2 linked regions of the Coturnix japonica genome follow. The protein of the gene in region 1 interacts with the protein of each later gene in a biochemical or structural test. Links are inferred from orthologs where the notes say so. Each region holds a gene or a part of one and is shown in the gene's direction. Other genes may lie near its edges.

What was found. The genes of interacting proteins can lie anywhere in the genome.
Region 2: of the proteins of SMURF1 (region 1) and AXIN1, one has a biochemical effect on the other in vitro, tested with the Homo sapiens proteins (2 studies listed by BioGRID, with this or other methods). The link is inferred for Coturnix japonica from reciprocal best matches to the Homo sapiens genes SMURF1 and AXIN1.

What each region holds. Positions count from the first base shown.
Region 1 is NC_029529.1:4,353,190-4,364,363, reverse strand, and holds the start of SMURF1 (E3 ubiquitin-protein ligase SMURF1), read left to right. Parts: upstream 1-3,825; 5' UTR 3,826-3,983; coding exon 3,984-4,038; intron 4,039-11,174. Other genes in the region: KPNA7 (importin subunit alpha-8), read left to right, coding at 1-239, 588-821, 1,151-1,333, 1,833-1,982, 2,594-2,641. UniProt on the Homo sapiens protein: E3 ubiquitin-protein ligase that acts as a negative regulator of BMP signaling pathway. Mediates ubiquitination and degradation of SMAD1 and SMAD5, 2 receptor-regulated SMADs specific for the BMP pathway.
Region 2 is NC_029529.1:10,802,250-10,812,014, forward strand, and holds the end of AXIN1 (axin-1), read left to right. Parts: intron 1-50; coding exon 51-296; intron 297-4,730; coding exon 4,731-4,898; intron 4,899-5,384; coding exon 5,385-5,511; 3' UTR 5,512-5,837; downstream 5,838-9,765. Other genes in the region: PDIA2 (protein disulfide-isomerase A2), read right to left, coding at 8,076-8,150, 8,266-8,352, 8,454-8,635, 8,774-8,894, 8,969-9,163, 9,239-9,364, 9,439-9,555, 9,620-9,757. UniProt on the Homo sapiens protein: Component of the beta-catenin destruction complex required for regulating CTNNB1 levels through phosphorylation and ubiquitination, and modulating Wnt-signaling.

The sequences.
Region 1 (11,174 bases):
GGACTCTGTCAAACCTCTGCAGGAATAAGAACCCATACCCACCCCTGGAGGCAGTGAGGCAGCTGCTGCCTGTCATCACCTGCCTGCTGGAGCACGAGGACAAGGACATTGTCTCTGACTCCTGCTGGGCTGTGTCCTACCTGACTGATGGCTCCAATGACCGTATCCAGATTGTGGTGGATACAGGGATTCTGCCACGGCTGGTGGAGCTCATGGGCAGCCCTGAGATTATCATCATGGTAAGGAGCAGTTGTCAGTTCCTGATCTCTGGGCCTTTAACGTAGGGACATCTGGGGAGAGGGAGGGAGCAGCTCCTTGCTGTCTGTGGTCTGCTGCCTCTTCACTCTGTGGTTCTGCTTGTTGCTGATCAAGCCAGTGCTATGTTCCTTCTTGCTGTGGCTGGGAAGAGCCTGTAAATCTGCTTAGATCAGAACAGGAGGCTGGTAGGTAGGTCTGTAACCATAGCAGTAATCATCCATGGGACTTCAAATGAAGGTTCAGGCACTTAGTGAAGGTGCTTGCTGGTTTTTCTGGTGTGTATCCCTTGAGATAAGACTTCTCATCTCCATCTGCTCTAATCTGTCTAGACTCCAGCTCTGCGTGCCATTGGGAATGTGGTTACAGGGACTGATGAGCAGACCCAGGCAGCTATTGATGCTGGTGTCCTGGCTATCCTGCCCCTTCTCCTGGGACACACGAAGTCAGCTATACAGAAGGAGGCAGCGTGGGCACTCAGCAACATTGCAGCTGGGCCCTGCCAGCAGATCCAGCAGCTCATCACCTGCGGGCTGTTGCCACCTCTGGTGGAGCTGCTTGATAAGGTAAGGGGATGGACATAGCTCTGTGCATGTGGGGCAGTGCTCAGCTTCATTCTGTGCAGCTTTGTTGTGAGGTGCTGTGCCCAAGAGCCACCTGATCAGTGTTCTGTGAAGCTGCTGGGATCTGAGGAGCAGCATGAGCATTGTATTTAATACATCTGCACAAAGAAACAGCTTGGAGCTGGTCTTGGCAGCTCTGCTGTGTGTCCACGCAGTGCTAGGAAAGCAGACTAGTCTGCATTATGTACAAGGAGTGGCTCTCCTTGCCTGACATCTCAGCCTGCTCTGAGGGATGCTAAAGTCTGGGAATGCCTTTTCTGTTGCTCTTCTAGGGGGATTTCAGGGCCCAGAAGGAGGCAGTGTGGGCAGTGGCCAACCTGACAACTGGTGGCACTGTGGAGCAGGTGGTGGAGCTTGTCCAGTCTGGGGTCCTCAAGCCTCTGCTCAACCTGCTTTTGGTCAGAGACACCAAAACTATCCTGGTTATCCTGGATTCGATTTCAAATCTATTCCTGGTAAGATCTTACATCCCTTTTGCCAAATAAGTAATGAGGAGTGAGAGGGATGCTCGCATGATGCAGGTGCAGCTGAAGCAGCTCCTCCCCAGCAGTTAGTCTTGCAGGAGTGAGTTAGACTTCATGCCTGACTTGTTCTTGAGTCCTTTTGGGTTGCCAAAAGGGCTTGACATGAAGTTCCAGAGTGCATCCTCTCCTTTCCTAAAGGAGAAACAGTGTGCTAATCACTGAGCCAATACAGAAAATGAAGGTCTTGGAACTGGATGGTGCTGGGGTCTCCCAAGGGTTCAGGAGGTGTTTTGGTTGGCAGCAAAACCACAATATAGTGAAAAAACAGGGACAGTTTGATATATTGTAGTTTGATACTACAGTCATATTCTAGGCATCTCTGAACACAGTGCAGACCCTTGTGTTCCTACCTGCAGTCACTTGGCCCTTAGGCAGGAACCACCTTGACCCCATTACTGACATGGGTTGTACTTGCCTCTGTTGTTTGCAGGCAGCTGAGAAGCTGGGAGAGACAGAGAGGCTGTGTCTGCTGGTGGAAGAACTTGATGGTCTGGAGAAAATTGAAGCCTTGCAAACCCATGACAACATCATGGTCTATAGAGCTGCTCTGAATATCATAGAGAAGTACTTCTCTGGTGAGGTATGTGAGCTCTTGCTGCTGCTCATTAGAAAATGAACTGTTGTGTGTCGAAGCGGAGCACATCCTTTAAAGATGCTGAGATAAGTCCTTAGGTATCTTCTTGAAATTGAATGGGGTAGTTCTTATAGCTTACTCCCTTTACCTTCCAGAGGTCTATAGAACCCTGATCTGTCAGCTGACTGCTGTGCATTAGAGATGCTTTGATAGCATCTTGCTGCTGGAATTTCCAATGGCATCAGCTGGCATCACTGCAATTGCTGATATGCATTCCAAATGTGAGAAGGCTTCCTCTTTCCTGGCTGGCTTGTTGCTAGGAAGGGCAGCCTCCTACTCACTGATAACTGTGCTCAAGTTCCTTCTGGGTTACTTGACTCTTCTTGTGTTAAACTTGTGAGAAAAGTACAGGACCTCAGCAAGGAGTCCTAAGGGAATTCCATAACTGTCACAAGTCCGTATTTGGAGCCAGCCTTGTTCTTACAGATTAGGGAAGACCAAAGTAGAGGCTTATAGTGGTCTGACAGACCCCAGAGCTGACGTCTGAAAGTTGCCTGCAGTGTTTAAGCAAGTAAAGATGCAGACCCATTAACTGATGGCTGTGAACTTCCTCCTAGGAGACTCCTGATCTGCAGCATTGGAATGGATGTGGAAGGGGTATATAATTTGCTTCTCCACTGTGAAGACTTCAAAGGCTGAAGCACTGCACAGCTCTGACTTGGTGGGTGGAGGCTGGGTGTCCTGACCAAGGGGAGTAGAGATGTATAGCCCTTTTACAGGTGGAACTTAGTAATAAATTGCACTTGTGGATTTGTACTTCTTGCCTCTATTCCTTTTCTCTCATACTTCTGCTGTGGTGAAGATCACAGCTCTCTGGTTCCTTAAACATATGGGAAAATTACATATTGGAGTTTTTGGAAGTGTTTTCTGTGTGAGACATTGCCTGCCTGCAGTGTGTAACCTCTTGTTAACTGTTAAGAAGGAACTGAACCCTGCTTGGCCTTTGTGTTTGTGCTGTGTCTCCTGGGCCTCCTTGCAGGATAGAGGGTATTTCTCCTCCAGGTTGCCTAGAAAGAAGGAAGCAGAGCCCCTGTGGTCTGTACAAGGTGCACAGCCCTGAGCTTGCTGAGTGTAGTTGAAGTGCTGGAGTCGATTTATTTCCTGGATCTGACACTATGAAGTGAAAATCGGAATAGCACAAAACCTGAGTGTGCTCTGGAGATGAGTGCCTGTGTGCATCCTTCCTTTGTGCTGTGGGTTAGCACTGGGGGCTCTGCTGCCAGAACCACCTTACAGTGTGCTGCTGAGGCAGCATCTGGAAATGATTGGATTTCAGTGGGTAAAAGGAGCCTGAGGTTGATGCTTCCTCGGTGTAAATGGAGATGTGGACCGGAGCTGGGCTCCTGCTCTTCCTGAGCCTGGACACAGGGCTGCTGCGTGCTGGTGTTCTGCTGACTGAGAGCAAGCTAAAAAGGGAAAGGTCAGTGCTTTTCCTGCATGTCTATTTGAGGCTGTTACAGGTAAGTTGCTTTCTTTCACCTTTGCAGCACTGGATTGAAAGCGAAGCGTCTATGGGTGCCGTGCTGGGTTGGTGATGCTTTACTTTCCTAATCCAGAGCGTTTCTACCTTTCATTGAGATGAACTTTTCTGACCAAAGAGTATCTCGGTGATAAGCTCAGTGATGACTGGAGTTGTGTGGAACACATTGCTGCGGCCTAGCAGTGCAGCTGTGTTCTGTAGGTCCTCCCACACACTAGGGGGCGCTGCACTCCTCCTTCAGCACTCGGCCCCTCCATCCCCGACCTCCCCAAGATGGCGGCGCCTCTCCTGACGTCACGGCCGAGCCGCGGGGCGGCGCTGAGGCGGAGCGGAGCCGCTGTCCGGGCCGGGTCGGGCTGAGGCGGCGGCGGGTCCGGCCGCGATCGGAGCGCGGAGAACGGCCGGAGGTTGGAGCGGGCCCGTATGGGGTTGAGCGGGGCAGCGGGTTGATCTCGCCTCAGGGCGCGATGTCGAATCCCGGGACGCGTCGGAACGGCTCCAGCATCAAGATCCGCCTCACAGGTAATAACGGCGCGGGAGGGGCCCGGGGCGCTGCTCGGTGCGGAGGGGCCGGTTGTGGGCAGGGGGCGGCTGTGTGTGTATATATGTGTGTGTATGTGTGTGTATATGTGTGTGTGCCGGGGGGGCCGTGGCCGCCGGTGAGGCCGGGCCGTGGCGGCGGGGCCCAGCTGTTCCCCCGCTCCTTCGCTCCGCTTCCCCCATTCCCGCTCCCAGCCCGCGGTGCTGCTGCGTTTCCAAGTTATTTCTATTATTATTATTATTATTATTCTTTTCCCCCTCTCGGTTCCCGGTTCCCACCCGCCCCCTGCAGTGTGCAGTGCAGCCGCCGTTCCCTCAGGTTCGCTCTGTCCGAACCCTCCTCTCATCTCGTTTGCCTCCGCTGGGCTCCGTAGGCTTTGTTGCAGAGCCCCGTTGTTCTCTCTGTGTGCGTCTCATTGCTTTGGGTCTGTTGTTTTGCTGTATTTTGTTTCCCTTTTTGCTCTCCTCCTCTCCTGCTTCCTCTCCCAAACCCAACTCCTGCAGTCCTTCCCCTGAGCTAAAGGTGCCAATGAATGACTGCACTCTGTGTCTCCTCAACTCTGTGTGCACACATGAATAAACCAATTTATGTTGCACCCTCCGAGGTCTGGATTAGCTCTGAGAGCTGCTCCAGCTAATGCTGAGCTGCTGTTCTAATGGGAAGAGGCACAGGTTCTGATTCTTAAGGCTGTGGGGTGAATTATTAATAAATAAGACCCGATCTGACCTTTTTAAAGGCAACAGGTGGATACTTGGAGATCTCGGTGCCGTGGTTCATTCAGACCCAGGCACAGGTATTGATCTTTATGGAACTGTGGCTGTGGGAGCGTGAGATATTGCCAAACAATAAGAGAAATGGCACAAGGTGAACTCCAGTTCCAGGTGAACTTGCTTCTGGTGTGCACTGCAATCAGTCAGCAGCGACTCTTCAACATAAAACCCTGGTTTGCTTTTAATCCTTCCTTGATCCCGTGCTGCTCGTGCTTTAGGAGGCTGCAGTTGGCAAGGAAAATATCAATCTGAAAATCCTTTCGGACACGAGAAGGCTGCAAGTATTTTTAGGGTGTAAAGACGATGTTTGATCTGAAATCAGTTTTGTGGAGCCGTGTGCTAAATGCCAACTCAGTCACTGACGTGCCTTGTTTGTATGCCAGTCAGTCCATCAACACGCAGGCAGTTGAGTAACTTGTGCTGTGGTCGCAGCCCTGTGGAGCGGGCAGGTATCGTTTAAATAACAGACAGAAGCTGTTGGTTTTAGAAGCTGTTGGTTTTAGTTCTAAAGAGCGAATGCAGCGTCAAAGTGTTCTTTGCCTTTTAGCGTGTGCTATTCCTGCCTGGCTGAGAGCATTTTGTGCAAGAGGCTGAAGTTGCAGCTTATTGAGCAACTTGGATTTTCTCACTCGTATTTTGTTGTTTTAATTAATTATATTGGAGAACTCTGCTCTCTCAAACTCATTTTAGGTTTTTACAAGCATGTGACCTGGGTGGTATGACAAAAATTGCTGCGTTTCATCAGAAACTAATTGCTCTGGGAGAGGTTTCCCTTTGGAGTTGTTAAGAAATGCTGCATCCTCAACGTGGCTGGAGGTTGCTGGGCTGACTTACCTGCTCCAAAGCACTACAGCTATCGCGGCTGCTGCTTCCTCATCTGTTCTGCTGCTGGGAGCTTTGAGTGGTGTTAATTCAAGACAGGGAACGTCTTCTGTTACGATCTACTACCTGCGCTGTATTTCCTGTGATTAGAAATCATTTGTTTTCACACAGCTACTTTCAGTAGTGCAATACTGCTCAGTCTGAAGGTGCCTGTGAGCATTAGGAAAAGCAAATGGTGGTTGAATCTTGCTACTTTTAAAGGCATTGTTCTCATTTTCCTTGTTTATTGGCATGGTGTTTGTACAAGCATTGAGTTAAAAGCATTTCAGTCATATGAATATATTAGATCTTCCAGCTCGTGCGGGGTGGTGTCAGTCCTACCATGATGCAGATTGCAATGAAGTGAAATGGTAAATGGCACATTCTGTTTAGAAAGGAAAAATAAATAAATCAATAGATCCAACTGCAGGTAACTTGGGTGGTGGGTTAAAATGTCTGTGTCCTCAAACATGCTCATCTCTCCCTATCCCAAAATGGTCCATGTTGGAAGGGACCTCAAGGCTCATGAACCTGATATCTCACTTTCTCCTAAAGTATATGCAGGGTTCCTTTTGCTTTCACCACTGCTGGTGATAGAGCAGCCAAGGGTGCTTATGGCCTTGTCTCACTGCTGGAAGCAGCTCTAGGCAAAGGAAGGTAGGACTTGTCATTATATCCGTAGTCTCTTTGTATCCGTGCTGTCAGCGGGTAGAGCAGCCATGACAGATGACTCAAAAAAGAGATGGGAACAATGCAATGGTATTGTGAGTGCTTGAGGAGTCTGCTCAGGTTCTTCTGGGTCAGGGAGGAATGTGGTCCAAAGGCCTTTGTGAAGCACATCCCTTTTTTAGCTGATGTCCTCCTCTAAAACCTTTCTTTGCTGCTGCAGTCGCTGCTCCCTGGGGGCAGTTCCAAAGGGTTGATCAACTCCAAAGCTTTACGTGCTTCTTACTCATACTGTTATTTCACCCAGAAGTACTTGTGAAAACTGCAGTCTCATTGTGCTGGATCTCAGAGTTGCTCTTGTTCTGGGTAACTTGCATATGGGAAAATCCCATGCAATTGGGAAGGCTGGGAGGAAATGGACTAAGTGTGCAGCTTTTCTACCAGAAAACCTTGAGGTTCTGTTCTGACTTCATCGATATGGCTTTATCATCACTGCTGCAGCAGGGGTGTTAAAGGCAGTCTGGCTTCTGATGCTGGAGAAGGAAGTGAGAAAAGATGGGGAAGGAAAAAGCATTAGTTCAAATGTAATGAATCGTTTCAGAGAAGGAGCAGGAAAGGGGAGAGGATCATGTAGCATTTCAGCCCATGGAAACGTGTAGATGGCCAAAGCAGGTTCTTGAGCAGAAGAGCAGCAGTTGGTGTAACAGGAAAGCACAGTCATCCCTCGGCCTTAAGAAAGGCATTCCTTCTTGGCAGCCCCAGCGCAGGGGGTTGTTGGGTTGCTGCTTGTTATTGTATCTGTAGAGGATTTGAATGGAGGGCGAGAGGAAGGAGAGCTTGATGTCAGAAATGTCAAGGAGGAATGAGGAAGGTGGTGAGGAAGTGCTTGGTTTATGTGAGGTGGGTGCATTCACAGGCAATGTTTGATTTCTGTGTTAGCAGAGGCAAAGAAAGGCAAAGAGGTGGTGCAGGGAAGTATCCAAAACCCCACTTTCATTTCCCTGTACTTAGAACAGCTTAGGGAAGTCCCATCTGCAAAGTGCTTATAAATGGCTGCCCTGGGTTTGTTTCACAGACGTTCACTGGTAATTTAAGGAAAGCATTAAAGAATGAAGTGAATTCAAGTCCAAAGTAAAATATGACGTTTCTTTAAAAGCAATACACTTAAGCTTGTTATGAAGGCATACGTTAAAAAGTGTCACAAACGCTTCCCTTTCATGACTAATGTAGTATTGATCGATTCAGCAGAGTTAACTGACTGATCAATAGCAACACTAATATTGGCCACCCAGACAGTTTTATGTCCCGTGTTCAGAAACAATGACTATCTGTGCAGGGATCTCCAGATCAAAAGTAGTAAATAGCTCATGGGCTGTCTGTCATTTTATGTTTTTATGTTGGAAAGAGTCCTGGCTGCAGACTGATGGTGCTGGTGTGAGAGGAGGCCAGGCTGGCCAGCCGGCCATTTGGGTCTGCCCTTGTGTTTGTGGCTGCACAGGGGCTTGTTGATAGAAATGGCATGGAAATGTGGGGCATGGAGCAAGGGGAACTTGCAATGGACAGCTGGTATCTTTGGGCTGCTGGGGTGGGAACCAAGAGCAGGCGGGTGGGCTGCGACTTGCTGCCTTTGTCTCTCTCAGTACGTCCGAGCTGTGCCAGCACCATTGTCCTGGTGGAAGTAAATTACGTCTCCAAAAGGAGTTTGCATGAACATTCCCTCAGGCAGCGAAAGTAGAGACAATAACTACTTTATTCCAAACTTGAAACTTTCTTTTCTCAAACTGGGTGCCTTCGTATAAAGGAATGTAATTTGGAATGTTGTTGCGGAGCTGCTTAATGATTTCTTATTTAATTCCTTACAGCGTTCTCATCCTCTTCCCTAAATGGCTTTATCGTGTTATAAAACATTGTAGCATTACTCTTTCCGTGCTGTAAAATGGAGAGATCTCCCAGTAAGGAAGTGAGCTTCGTGCTGGGATGTTTTCTGCTGGTCCCGACCTGCTGACAGCACCAGAGCAGCAGCCACCAGTGCCCTGCAGGTAAATAGGAGTGGGAGCACTGCGGCTGGTTGTGCTGCTGGCCCTGGCACTGTGTGTGTTGGAGGTTTGGCTGGATTGCCGCCCAACTTTAAGCAAGTCCAGCTGACATGTTTAAAGTTGGATTAGTCTGGTTAGATTACTTGCTGCTATTTATGGTTCCAGACTTAAATACTCACTCGGCTGCCCTGTTCGTTTGGAGAAACTCATGTTTGGGTGCAGAGAATATTAAAGAAGGTTTTAGGAAAAGAGACTGTTCTGTCAGCCAGTGCTTTCTGTGAGTGAGCAATAAGACCTTTTTGTGATGGGTTCTGCAATATCATTGAAAGCTTTTATCTGTATTGGTGCTTTGATCATTTGCATTTGGGAACCAAACACTGATGCTGATTTATGGTCCCGAAGTGAAACAAAGCTGTAGTGCCACGATCTGGAAATGGTTTGTTCTTTCCTGTACCACAAGTTGCTTTGGGTGGGCGAATGTGTCAGGGAGATGTGAAATCTCAGGATATTTGCTGACAGCCGCTGTGACATTTCTCCTGCTGTGACCTGTTCAGGCATTATAAGGTACGTGCTGAGGTCTTGAGTGTAGCCCTGGCCAACAGCAGGACATCGATGGGGAGAGCAGCAATACGGCTGACCAACTCCCTGCAGTTTTACCTCGATACCATCTCCCCTTCTTCAGCCAGCACATTAGCGAGCCTGCAGTTAGCCATGCAGCTGGTTAATGCAAGCACTCATGTTACTGCTGGTAGTGGGGAAGTTGTGCTGCTTTCAGATAATGATGTTTCAGATGCTTACGGATGAGTTCCTGCAGGCGCTGCTGCAATAACTGAAGATGTTATCTCCTTGCTCGTCTGCTGACCCCCCTTTGCCAGGAATTTGTCACTCACTGCAGGGAACTGGTGGAGGAAAACCCGAAGATGAATTATGAGCACATCTGTGCAACTTCAGCTGCTGACATTGAGTCTTTATCAAGAATTTAAGCTGAGGGGCTGGACTTTGAAAAGCTGGGGTATGAGCGTGTGTTGTCTTCTGCTGGGAGGAGCTGAGCTTGGAAGAGAAAAGAAGAAAGAGATGGTGATTTCCTAAACCCTGCAGCAAGGTTTGCTGTAGGTGTATATTGGTATATATCCATTTGTAAAAGATGTATCTGAATATTTATGTGACAGCAGGAGAAACCTGCCTGTTGGTTGGCTAAAGATGAGCCAGTGCTGGGTGACGGGTTAAGATGTTACACTGCTTATAAACTTTGTTTCACGTCTCTTGGAAAGGAAACCTTGCCGTTTTTGAAGGGGATCCCTGGGCATGTTCCTCTCCTATTTCCATCTGTCATCCCTGTGGAAGTCATAAAATGCAACGAGAGGACAGTGGGAAAGCATTGGGAGTTTTTCTTTCAAGTATTCTCTTATGAACTGGGAGCTACATTGGGAATATTTGGGGATGCTGGAGCTGGGTGATAAATGCGATGACGCTCCAGTTGAATTGGCAGAATAAGCTCACATGCTGCTTTAGAAAGAATCTCTCCACAGGGCTGTAATAGCTTGATGCCTTCCTCTTCACTAAGTCATTTTTGTCAAGTTAAAGGCCAGAATTCAAACTGGCTTGTTGTCAAGGACACTAAGCACAGCAGGCAGAAATCCCCAAGGCTACCCAGTTCGCAGCACAGACACACAGCCGGCAGAGCACCGTTCATTTGCTCTCCCCTCCCCCATGAAAAATCCCTTTTTTTTTTTTTTTTTTTTCAGAATATGGACACTATTATGCATACTAATAGAATGCAACAGCATGTATTTAAATGGGGAGTTTGTTCATCGGTCCGGGGGTGAAACAATGTTGGATTGTTGGGGAGCTGTGATGCGGTGACTGCGCCGCTCGCCCCACCAGCTGTGTGCACCTCTGTGCACCTCGCTCCTCATCCCAATCCGTGCCATTAAGGCTGTAAGAAATGCTGGGGAATCAGGTGTGCCTTCCAGCTTTCTGTTTTATGCTTTGTTTCCTTATTGTCACTTAAGTATACACTGCTACGTGTTGAAGAAGGAAGGGTGGCATTAGTCCACGACTCACTTCTGGTGTTAGTGACCACTGGGATGCTTCAAGAATGAGTATTCCTGAATTGCCTCTCTAGCATCCAGATTTAGCCATGATTGTTATTTCCTATCAAATAGATGTTTCTTTCCCAGGAGGTTTTGAAGAAGCCCCACATGAAGCTGATTGGATGCCTCTCTTTCAGAGGTGCCCTGATGTTTTCTGGTCTTGTGGTCGTCTTTGCTTCTGCATTAACTCCTAGTGTATAATGATAGTTGTGAAGAAGTTGCCATTTTTTCCTTCAAGTTGATGAGTTCCACCTTGGTACATTTTAGTATTTGGAATAAAATAGCATTTTTTAATGAGTAAATTGGAAGGAATAGCATTTTATTTGTCCTTTCCATGCGTTTGCATTTCAGTCTTCCATCAAAATCTGCTTATCTTCTCTAATCATTGGACTACAATGAAATGCATGTATTCTTATCAGTTCGAAGTTTCCCTTTCTCATTTACTTTACAAAATTAAATTAGGGTGTGTTGTTGAAAACCCGTTCTTCTAATTAATCTCCTTAATTTCCAAGATACTCTCTCAGAAGCTCTCCATTGGGATTTTTCTCTTCAAAAGTCAGAACTCCTTTAAGATAGTTGCATTTGTTTCAGCTTGAAGACAACTGCTGGCATCACTCTGATCTCATTCCTCCAGCCCTGACCACAGTCCATGTCACGTCCCCAGCGTGGGATGGACCTCAGTGCCTCATTC
Region 2 (9,765 bases), about 6.4 Mb from region 1:
TGTGCAGAGTGACTCAGCAGCCTGTGTAAAACCTTTGTATTTGTGTGTAGCTCTTCAGGTGCTAAGAAGCAGCTGTCCCACGACATGGTCCGACCCCTCTCCATTGAGCGGCCTGTTGCAGTGCATCCGTGGGTCAGTGCCCAGCTCCGGAACGTCGTCCAGCCTTCACATCCTTTCATCCAAGATCCTACCATGCCACCCAACCCAGCACCCAACCCACTCACCCAGTTGGAAGAAGCTCGCAGGAGGTTGGAGGAGGAGGAAAAGAGAGCTGGAAAACTCCCACTGAAACAAAGGTATGGCCATGGGGTCTGAGTATGCATGGGAGAAAAGGGGGGAGGCTGCTCTGTGACTGGGGAGCCATGGGAGGTGCTGTGCTCCAGTTTCCAGCACTAACTGAGTGGAGGCACCTGCAGAGAGGTCAGGGAAGCCTCCTCATTCTCTCTGACATGGCTTCTGACAGGCAAATGCCACAAGCTGCCTTAAGGCCTGGGCTTGAGTTTTGTGGATTGGAAGTCTGGAAATGTTCTGAATGAGCCTGGGCAGGTGGAGCCTGTTTAGAAATAGCATGAGAGGGAAGAGCGCTCTTTGTAGAACTAGTCAGCGTCCGGTTTGCTGTACTCACCTCATCTTCACCAGCACACTCGTGGTTCGTTCACACACTGGTTGCAGAGTTCTTGGTTGGTGCAGTGGCAAAATTCAGCAGAATGCAGCAAAATTAAGTGCAGAAGAATATGTATGTGCTCTTTATCTACATCTCATTCAATCTTCCAGCAAAGGAAGCTTGTGGCAGCTCAGGGGGAGCGCTGCACACTGCTGCAGCAGTATTGTTCTCTGCATGCCTGTATCCAAGTCACTGCAGCTTCCTGTGACTCAGCTCAATGCCTGTTGCAGAGCTAATTCTTCTGCTCCCGTATTATCTTTCAGGGAGGATTAGTTGCAAGGCACACAGAGCTCTCAGATGAAAAACATTTTGGAAGTGCTTGATAATTACTGTTAAGAACTAAAAGCACTTTGACCATTAAAAACCTTTCACAATGGGAATTGCTTGTAGTCACTTCATTGCTTTATAGCTGTGTTCTGAAAACTCTAAACTTTGGAGTCTGACATTCAGAAACATGAGTGTAATTTAAAGAACAAGCTCCTCTAATTGCTGAGCTGCAATTATTTGTGCTTGCAGTGGTCATGTAGCAGACTTCTGCATATTTATATCAGAGCATTGATTGGAAGCTAAATAATTAGAGGGCTCTCCCACGTCGGCTTGGGCCAGGCTTATTTGATCTAACTTTCACTTGGTGTAATTGGATAAGGTTTATTTGTGGAGTCATTTATAGTCATATTAAATTCATACACCTTCCCAAGAAACGTCTAGGTGCAGATGCACACTTGGGAAACACCAGCCTGGGCTTTATGCATGTGTCTTGAATACTCTAATAACAACTTGGCAGCTTTTGTAGAAACCCCATGGCGTTGTGGTATGTGCCCTTCAGACCAGCAGGAGAACAGGCTGAGCCACGCTGGGCCGTTCTGCTTTCACACTTGTGCTGCCTCCTCACAGTGTTTGAGGCTGGGCCATTGATCTTTGGGAGCCTATGCAAGCTGAAGTGTCCAGTGCTGGCTGACCTGACCTCTTGTGCCCATTGTGTTGGTGGAGAGCCTTGTCCCGGTGGTTGCTTGCCTGTGCAGTCAGTTTTTGAGCCATTTTCTGTAGCTCACTGTCACAGTGCACATACGTTTCCAGCTGGAAGAAGTAATTAGTAGCAGCTCTGCAGAGAAGAGATTTTCGTAAGCAGCAAAAGAATTTTCTAGTCTCTCCAGCAAAAATGTTAGCGTGAGCTTGGTTTGGAATTAGTTTGATTGGGCCAGGCCTGGAAGAGGAGCAGAGCTGGATGCTGGGACACCTCCTGAGGTAACATCTGCTGGCTGTATTTCAGGCTTTCCACAGCTCTTTGGCCCCAGGGCTGGGATGGAGCAAACCTCCCCTGTGCTGGGCATGGCAGCATCACAGCTGGGCTGTGTCTGTGCTCTGACACAGGCTGAGTTAGTGCTGGTCATAGAACCATAGAATCACAGCATGGTTGGGTTGGAAGAGACCTTACAGCCCCCCCCCCAGTCCCACCCCTGCCATGATCTGGCTGCCTCCCCAGCTCAAGGCTCCTTGGGCAGGGTAAGGTGCAGTAAGGCAGTCAGCACTGCATTTATCTTGCTGGGTAACATTTCCTGCTTGTGACAAACTTTGCAAAGGGAGCTGAGGCCAGAAGAAGGAACAGAGAGTTAATTGTGTGTGTTCATGGAGAGGGTACACTGCAGACCCAGGGGATGGGTGCAGATGGAGGCTCCAATGAGGCAGGGTTCAGGCGTGCTGTGATGGAGCAGCACACTCAGCAGGGGCCCATCTGGGTTAGAAGTGGCCTCGGGAGGTTTCTGTGCGATGATGGCAGCAGAGATGGTTGTGTTGTCATGTTCTCAGGGGAGGAATGTCTGGAAAACTGTGTTGTCAATGATTCCTTATTCATCATCCCTGCTTCAGTTTGCTAGAGATCTGGGGACGTGTGTGTATTCTGTGATGCTTTAAAGGGTGATGTTCCTTCCTGCAAGGAGGCACCAAACCTTTGGCTCTTGTCCCATCACTGGTGGCCTCCTGGGGTCCTGTCAGAAAGAACCAGGCGGCTCTTTCTCCCTCACATGCTTTCCAGAAGCCACACGGTCCCCACAGCCCCTTTCTGAGCCTGGGGAAGAGGAGCACAGCAGCCAGTCTGAGGTGGCTGCAAAGCAGCTTTTCAGGCACAAATTACACAGTGGGAGGAGGAAGGCTCCCAGCCATTGGCACAATCCTGCTCTGGCTTTATCATGGCAGAGCTGGGGAGCTCGAGGTGTTGGTTGTGACAGTCCTGCCTGCCCCCCCAGTGACCAAGGAGCTGCCCTCCAGCAGCCTAAGCACCATGCTGCATGCACAGCGTGTGTCATTGCATCCCCACCAGCCTCCGTGCCAGCTCCCCTGGGCACCAGCAGCTCTCTCATAGTCATGACTCGTTTCCAGCAGCATTAAGAGAAGCTGAGGGACTCTGAGGTTTTCCAAACCCCTTCAATTAACTCCTGGCTCACAGGATACACAGAATTTGCCTGAATTTATGACCCGTTTTTCCTTTAAACACATGATTTTATTTTTTATTTTTTCCAGAGGATGATTCAATTCCTTAATGTTTTTCTGCCTAAAGGGCATCCTGTGCTTTGATACAGGGATGGCTTCTAAGAGCTGTGCTGGCACAAGGAGCTCCATCACCTCTTGGGATGCTGCAGTTTCTCCAATGGTCTCCAGAGCAGAGCAGGCACCAGGAGCATTATGAGCTGAACTTTAGACCTCTCATGGCTTTAGAAAGAGGTGACAGAGTTCTCCCTGGTCTTGGTTTGCAGTGCCAATGTTATTGTGGACGTGCCATTACAAAGGTGCTGTGACTGTATTTAAAGGTTGAGGTCACAGCCATTTCCAACACTGCCATTAGCTCATGTGCTTGGCGTATTCTGCTCTTATAGCAACTTTCCAGTCCTATAAATACAAAATCATCCTTTTTTTTTTCTCCTTTTTTTTCCCTTTTACCCCGTGTGCCTTTTAAATGATTTTAAAGCTGCCAAATCTGTTTTATGTGATTCTGAAAGAGAAGGCTGCCTCTGGCTGAGACCACACATGCCAAGCAACGCATTTGTGTAGGCTGCTCAAATGTTTGTGCAGCATTTACAGCGCCCCAGATGAAAGGCTCCACACAAGTGCAAAGTGCCCTTATTTTGATTGTTGCTACTTTTGTCTGACTCTGAAAATGAGGCGAGGACTGGACACTTTCAATCTGGTGATGGCACCAAGTAGCAAATGCCAGTGTGTGGGCTGGAGGGAAGGAGCAGACCGACATCCCGACAGGCAGGAAGGTGTGAGAGGTTCCAGGTCTGCTCACTGGAGGTTTGAGGATGGTGTCTGCCTTCCAAAATCCAGCCTGCAGCCCAGCCAGGCCTTGCATGATGGAGCAAGACAGGATGGGGTGAGCAGCAAAGCACACAGGGTTTGGCACATCCCAGAGCTGCACATGAGAACTCCAAATGCTTCACAAAGGGAGTTGCTAGCTGATATGGATGGCACTTTCTTCTCCTTGTCTATGATATGAAGGCTTCTCCTGCAGACTGAGCCCTGGGAGCCATCACCGAAGCACTGCTTGTACTGAGGTCCAGGTAGCAAGCCTTGAAGCCTGAAGCCCAAGCACAGTGGTGCACACCGGTGGTGACACTGGTTGGCTGCAGTGGGTGTGTGATGCTCTGCCTTGCTCTGCCTAAACCAATTGCTCTCAGAGTTCAGTGCTGCAGGAAAGCCACTTCAAAGCCTGTCCCTGGGATGGGTTTCTGCAGCATGAAGGGGCTGAGCTGGAACCTGTGCCCTGTTCCTCCTATCTATGAGCTGGCCTCCATCCAGCCTTTCTAAGTGCTGTTCACCAGCCTGAGTGCACAGATGTATGCCAAGAAAGGTGGTCAGAGTAAAAGATGTTTCCTGAGGGCCCTGAGTGTTACTTTGGCACCTCCATACAGAAAGGCTCCAGTTCTCTGCAGATAAATGAAGGTCTGGACCTGCATCCCCTGCCTGGGCAGCCCCTCACCCCAACCAGCACCCAGTGCTGCCGATGATGCTGAGTCTGTGCCAAGCACCATAGGCCGATACTCAGGACATTGCTTGTGATTTTGTACAACAGGTTGAAGCCCCAGAAGAGACCAGGCAGCGGAGCATCCCAGCCATGTGAGAACATCGTGGTCGCTTATTACTTCTGTGGAGAGCCCATCCCATATCGCACCCTCGTCAAAGGGCGCGTGGTGACACTGGGACAGTTCAAGGAGCTGCTGACCAAGAAAGGGAACTACAGGTAAGGGCTGTTTGCCACTTGCAGTGTGGTGCCAGCAGACTGTCAGCACCCCCTGGCAGCTGCTACCACCAGGATGTTGATCCTGTCAAGGCAAAGGAGGTAGGTCAGGGGAGCTACTGGGGTTCTCAGCAGCCTTGCAGGGTTGTGGCAGCATCTGGTTGCCAGTGGACATTCCTTTCACTTAGAAAAGTAAGTCCCAAAGTGAGCCAGGAATGTGCTTTTTAAATAAGGGTAGAACTCAGACTTGCATCTGGAGTCCTACCTCCAGAAATATCCTGCATCACAGTTTGCTTCTCAACATGCCTGCTTGCATTCTGACTACCCTCACTAGGAGAGGGCAGGGGTGGATGCCAGCCTCCATGTCTGCTGGGGCTGCTCCCATTCATCATGAGCTCACAGCCACAGCTGCCCCCCATGTTTGGGTATCACTGTGATGTCCCACGTGGCCCTTAACCCCTCTGTGTCCCCGTGTTCCTTCCCTTTCAGGTATTACTTTAAGAAAGTGAGTGATGAGTTTGACTGCGGTGTGGTCTTCGAGGAGGTGCGGGAGGACGACACCATCCTGCCCATCTTCGAAGAGAAGATCATTGGGAAGGTGGAGAAGATCGATTAGGCTCCAAGGCTGCAGGAAAGGACTGTGAAAGACTCTGGGACTGGAGGAGAAGGTCTGGGGCAGACGCTGGCGGTGCTACTCCAGGAGGTGCTGGGCGAGCCCACGGTGCAGCCCACTCTGTGCCAGGACCTGGGCAAGCTCTGTTGTGCCATGGGAAGTCGTTTCACCCCCACAAACCTGCCAGTGGGAGCCTGGGCTCCCTCTCCATACGGAATATAAGTGTAATGTAGCATTGTACAGTGCATTAGAAAGTGTAAAATGAACTTGTTTACTAAAGCTGCATATTTTTGATATATTGTAATAAAAGGAAAATATTTCCAATGTCACAGTGCTCTTATGTAAATGTAAAAACACGCAGGTACTGCAGAACGCACCCAAAGTGTACAGCCATCCATCAGACTCCGTGTGGTCCTCGCTTTCACAGCCCCCCTTCCCTGCCCCCTCAGTGTGGATGGCTCTGAGCAATGCTGGGCTGGGGTGCACCCAGCCGACAAGCTGCTGTCCCTGCTGCTGTGGAAGTCACTGCTGCACTCCAGAGTGGCCCCCACTGAAGATTATTGAGCCACTCTGAACGAGTTGAGCTCTCGCCTCCCTGGCAGTCGCAGCTATTGGACCTGGTAGGGGTGGTTTTCCTCCTGAGCTTTCTTGTGACCAAGTGAATCCCCAAGGGAAAGGGAGGGTGGGTGCCAGTTCTTGGTGCTGCAGGCTTCCTGTGGTGCCTTCCACCAGGGCAGGGCTGTGGGCCACCAGTGAGGGTCAGCTGCTGCTCAGCACTGCGGGGCTGGACACTGGCATCCCATGCCCTGTGCTTGTCCCCCACATGTGCCTGCTCTTGGGGCAGACGTTCCCTCCTGGAGGTTGCTGCAGCCCCAATGAAGGGCTGGCAGCTGTGTGCAGACCCCAGTGCCAAGGCTGGGCTTTGCTCAGGGGTGTTGCCTTAGGAGAGGGGTAGTTCAGGGAGGAAACCAATGAGACACTTCCAGTCTGAGGACAGAAACCATCGTGTTATGAATCCGGTGTCTTCTGTCAGGTTCTGTCTCTGGGGAAGCAGTGTGAGGGGTCTGAAGCCAGCAGCAAAGGAGTTGAGGGGCTGTTGTACAGCCAGGTCCCCCAAATGCTGCAGTCACTGTAAGGGGCAACTACTGGGGTGCAGATGGGTCTGATCTCAGCTCCACCTGCCCTCAGCCCTGCCCTTCCCACCAGCCCAGGCTGTGCTCTGTGCCCCAGCAGCCGCAGCCCTGCACCAGCCATTGGGCAAACCCTGTGCCCGCAGCTCCAGCTCCTCGGGGGTCCCACATCAGCACTCACCCTGCCTGCCCACATGCCCCATTGCTCACTGCTGTTGCAGCACTGGGGCACAACCCGGCTGCCTGCAGGCGGTTCGCAGTAGCTGGGTGACAACTCAGCCTCTTGTACAGCGTCACGTGCCTTTAAACACGGTTCTGTGACTTGCCTACCACTATGTGAAGTCCAGCAAAATCTGCAATCGTTTTCAACCAGGGAACAGTGTTACGAGCGTCTTTTCCTCCCTCTTTTTTAAGTTCTGCTGGTGTTGTGTCTGGTGAGGTTGTTGCCATGCCTGGGATTTCCGTCTCCCCCTTATTTTTCTCAGGGGGTTCCCTGTAAATATGTACATTTGCTGAGCGCAGCATCCTCCAGCGGCCGTGCAGCCCTGCTGGTGTCTCCTGTGCATCCTCATGTGCTGACTTGTACAATGATCTTTTCAAAGGTACTTGGATAAAATGAAATAAAGCCCCACATCCCGGTGCCTTCTGGTTTCTTCCTTCCCCGCGGAGCAGACGTGGGAGTGGGTTGAGAATGGGAGCAGACAGAAGGGCTCTGCTTTGACCCAGGGCCATGGGCACACAAATGGGGCTGCCCACAGGGTGGGCATGGGGGTCCCAGAGCCATTGCTTATGGCTGGAGAGCAGCAGCTCAGGGGGGAGGGGATGGTGCTGGGGACTGAGACTGTGAGCCAGGCATTGGAAAGGCTCCAGAGGGCTCTTTAGAGCCCAATTTGGGGCTACTCCTGCCTTTCCAGGGTGTGAAAGCAGCTGCTGGGACTGGAGCCCTGGGGCAGCTCTGCATTATTGCAGCCCAGGTGTGAGGCAGGAGGCCTTGGGGCCATGAAGCTGAAAGCCTTCTGTGGTTCCTTCATCCCCGAAACCCTGACAGCCCCATGCCTGGGGCAGCACAAGGGCCAACCTGGGCTGCCTGCAGCACTCTGACACTGCAGGGACAGAAGGACGAGAATCACAGCGTGCCCAGGGCTGTGTTGGGTCCAGCATCACAGGAAGGCAAAGGCAGCACCCCCTCCATGGGAATGCTCAGTGCCATGGGTGCCTGAGGCCAAGCTGACCATGGGACCGACTGCCCTGCACACCCCAGTGGGCTCAACCCCCATCGAGGCACCCACCAGCTGCACTGTGTCCCCAGGAGGCCAAGCAGGCAGCATTCAGTGCCATGTGCCCCATGACATGGCTGTCAGCTGCATCCCACAGACACAGACAGAGCCCGCATCATTTCCAGGGTCATTTATAATGCCCACTGCAGCAGGACAGGACTCACAGCTCCTCCCGGGCTTCGGCTGTGCCAGATGAGCTCGGTGACTCTGTGCTGTTCTCTGGGGCCATGGACACCTGCAGAAGGTGATGGTGAGGCAGGGATGGACGTGTCCTGTCTCCATCCCACGTGTCCTGCAGGGTCTGTGCCCTGGGTGGCAGCCCCTGCCCAGGGATGGGGCACCTCTCTCACCGTGGGTGGCTCCTCCGGCAGCTTCCCTCCATTCTCCAGGAACTTGGAGAAGGTCTCCACGTCTCGAGCACTCCGATATTCAACCATCTGGAGCCGGGGGACAGGAGGAGGACACAGGGTGACATCTGAGCCTGACCTTCCCCAGGTGCTGGCAGTGCCAGGGATTCCCCACACCTGTCCCTGCCCACCTTCCTGCCCGGCCCAGCAGGGAAGTAGTGCAGTGTTGGGTATCCGCTGATGGTGATGTTCTCCAGCTCGTTGGCTGTGGCATCCATCTCAGCAATGACAATGTCCTCGTGGTCCTTGTAGCGCTCGCCCAGCTCCTCCCAGGCAGCCGCCATCTCCTGGCAGTGGGTGCACCACGGAGCATCTGTGTGACGGGCACAGGGCTGGAGGTCACAGCCAGGCTGGGGGCACCGGGGGTAGGCGAGGGGTGGGGATGCAGGAGAGGTCATGGAGAGGGGCTCAGCCCCACGATGCAGCTCAGGAACAGGACTTCAGCACTTACAGAACTTCACAAAGACGTTCTTGGTCTCATCAAATGCCACCTGCTCAAAGGTCTTCCCCACCAGCACTTTAACGGGCCGCGTGTTCCAGTCCTCGGGGGGCTCTGCACTCAGCAGCTGGGGCTGTGGGGACAGCAGGGATGTCCTGCTGGGACCTGTTTGGGGCCAGGTTCAGATCCAGGCTCCCATCTGCTCACCTTCACCTTCCCGTCCAGCACTGCCCGCACAAAGTCGCGTATGGCCGTGGCTGAGAAGGCGTCTGCCTCCATGCGGTACTTGCGGTTGTTCTCCATCTTGATGAGGCGCAGTGTGGGCGCATCACTGGGATTCAGACCAAAGAAGTGCAAAACAGAGGCACCGTACCCGTCCACATCCACCACCACGAAGAGCACCTGGAGGGGGAGATGGGCAGTGCTGAGGCTGTGGTCCCCCAGGTCCCATCCTTGCTTGCCATGGGATCACCTCACCTCACCCCGGAAGGCGCTGGCGGCCGCACGGAACTCATCCCGCAGTGCCTGCTGCTCGGCTACAGAGGTGTTGAGGAAGAGCAGCATGTGGTTGGGGATCTTGGCCCCAAAGATCTGTCCGGAGGTCTGTAAGGGAGGAGGAGGGTGAGAGGCTGGGCACCCTGCAGCCACACCAGGGCTGGGGAGGGCAGCAGCCGAACCTCATTCAAGAAGTCCATCACCAACTGCAGGCTGTGCACGCGGAGCAGCCGCGTCATCTCGGCCACATTCAGGCCCTGCTCCGGGTCCACGGGGAAATCCGTCCTCTCCTCATCGAACTGCCAGGTGTGGGACAGTGAGCACCAGGCCCCGCCGCAGCCCCACCACCCCAACCCCACTCACCTTCTTGAAGAGGCAGACGGTGTCGGCCGACAGCCCGTACGCCTTGAACAGCTCATCCGCCTCGGCCACTCCGAACACCACCTCCACCACCTCCTCAGCCACCTCATAGAACGCCCGCGCCGCCGCACTGTGCAGGTCCTGCATGG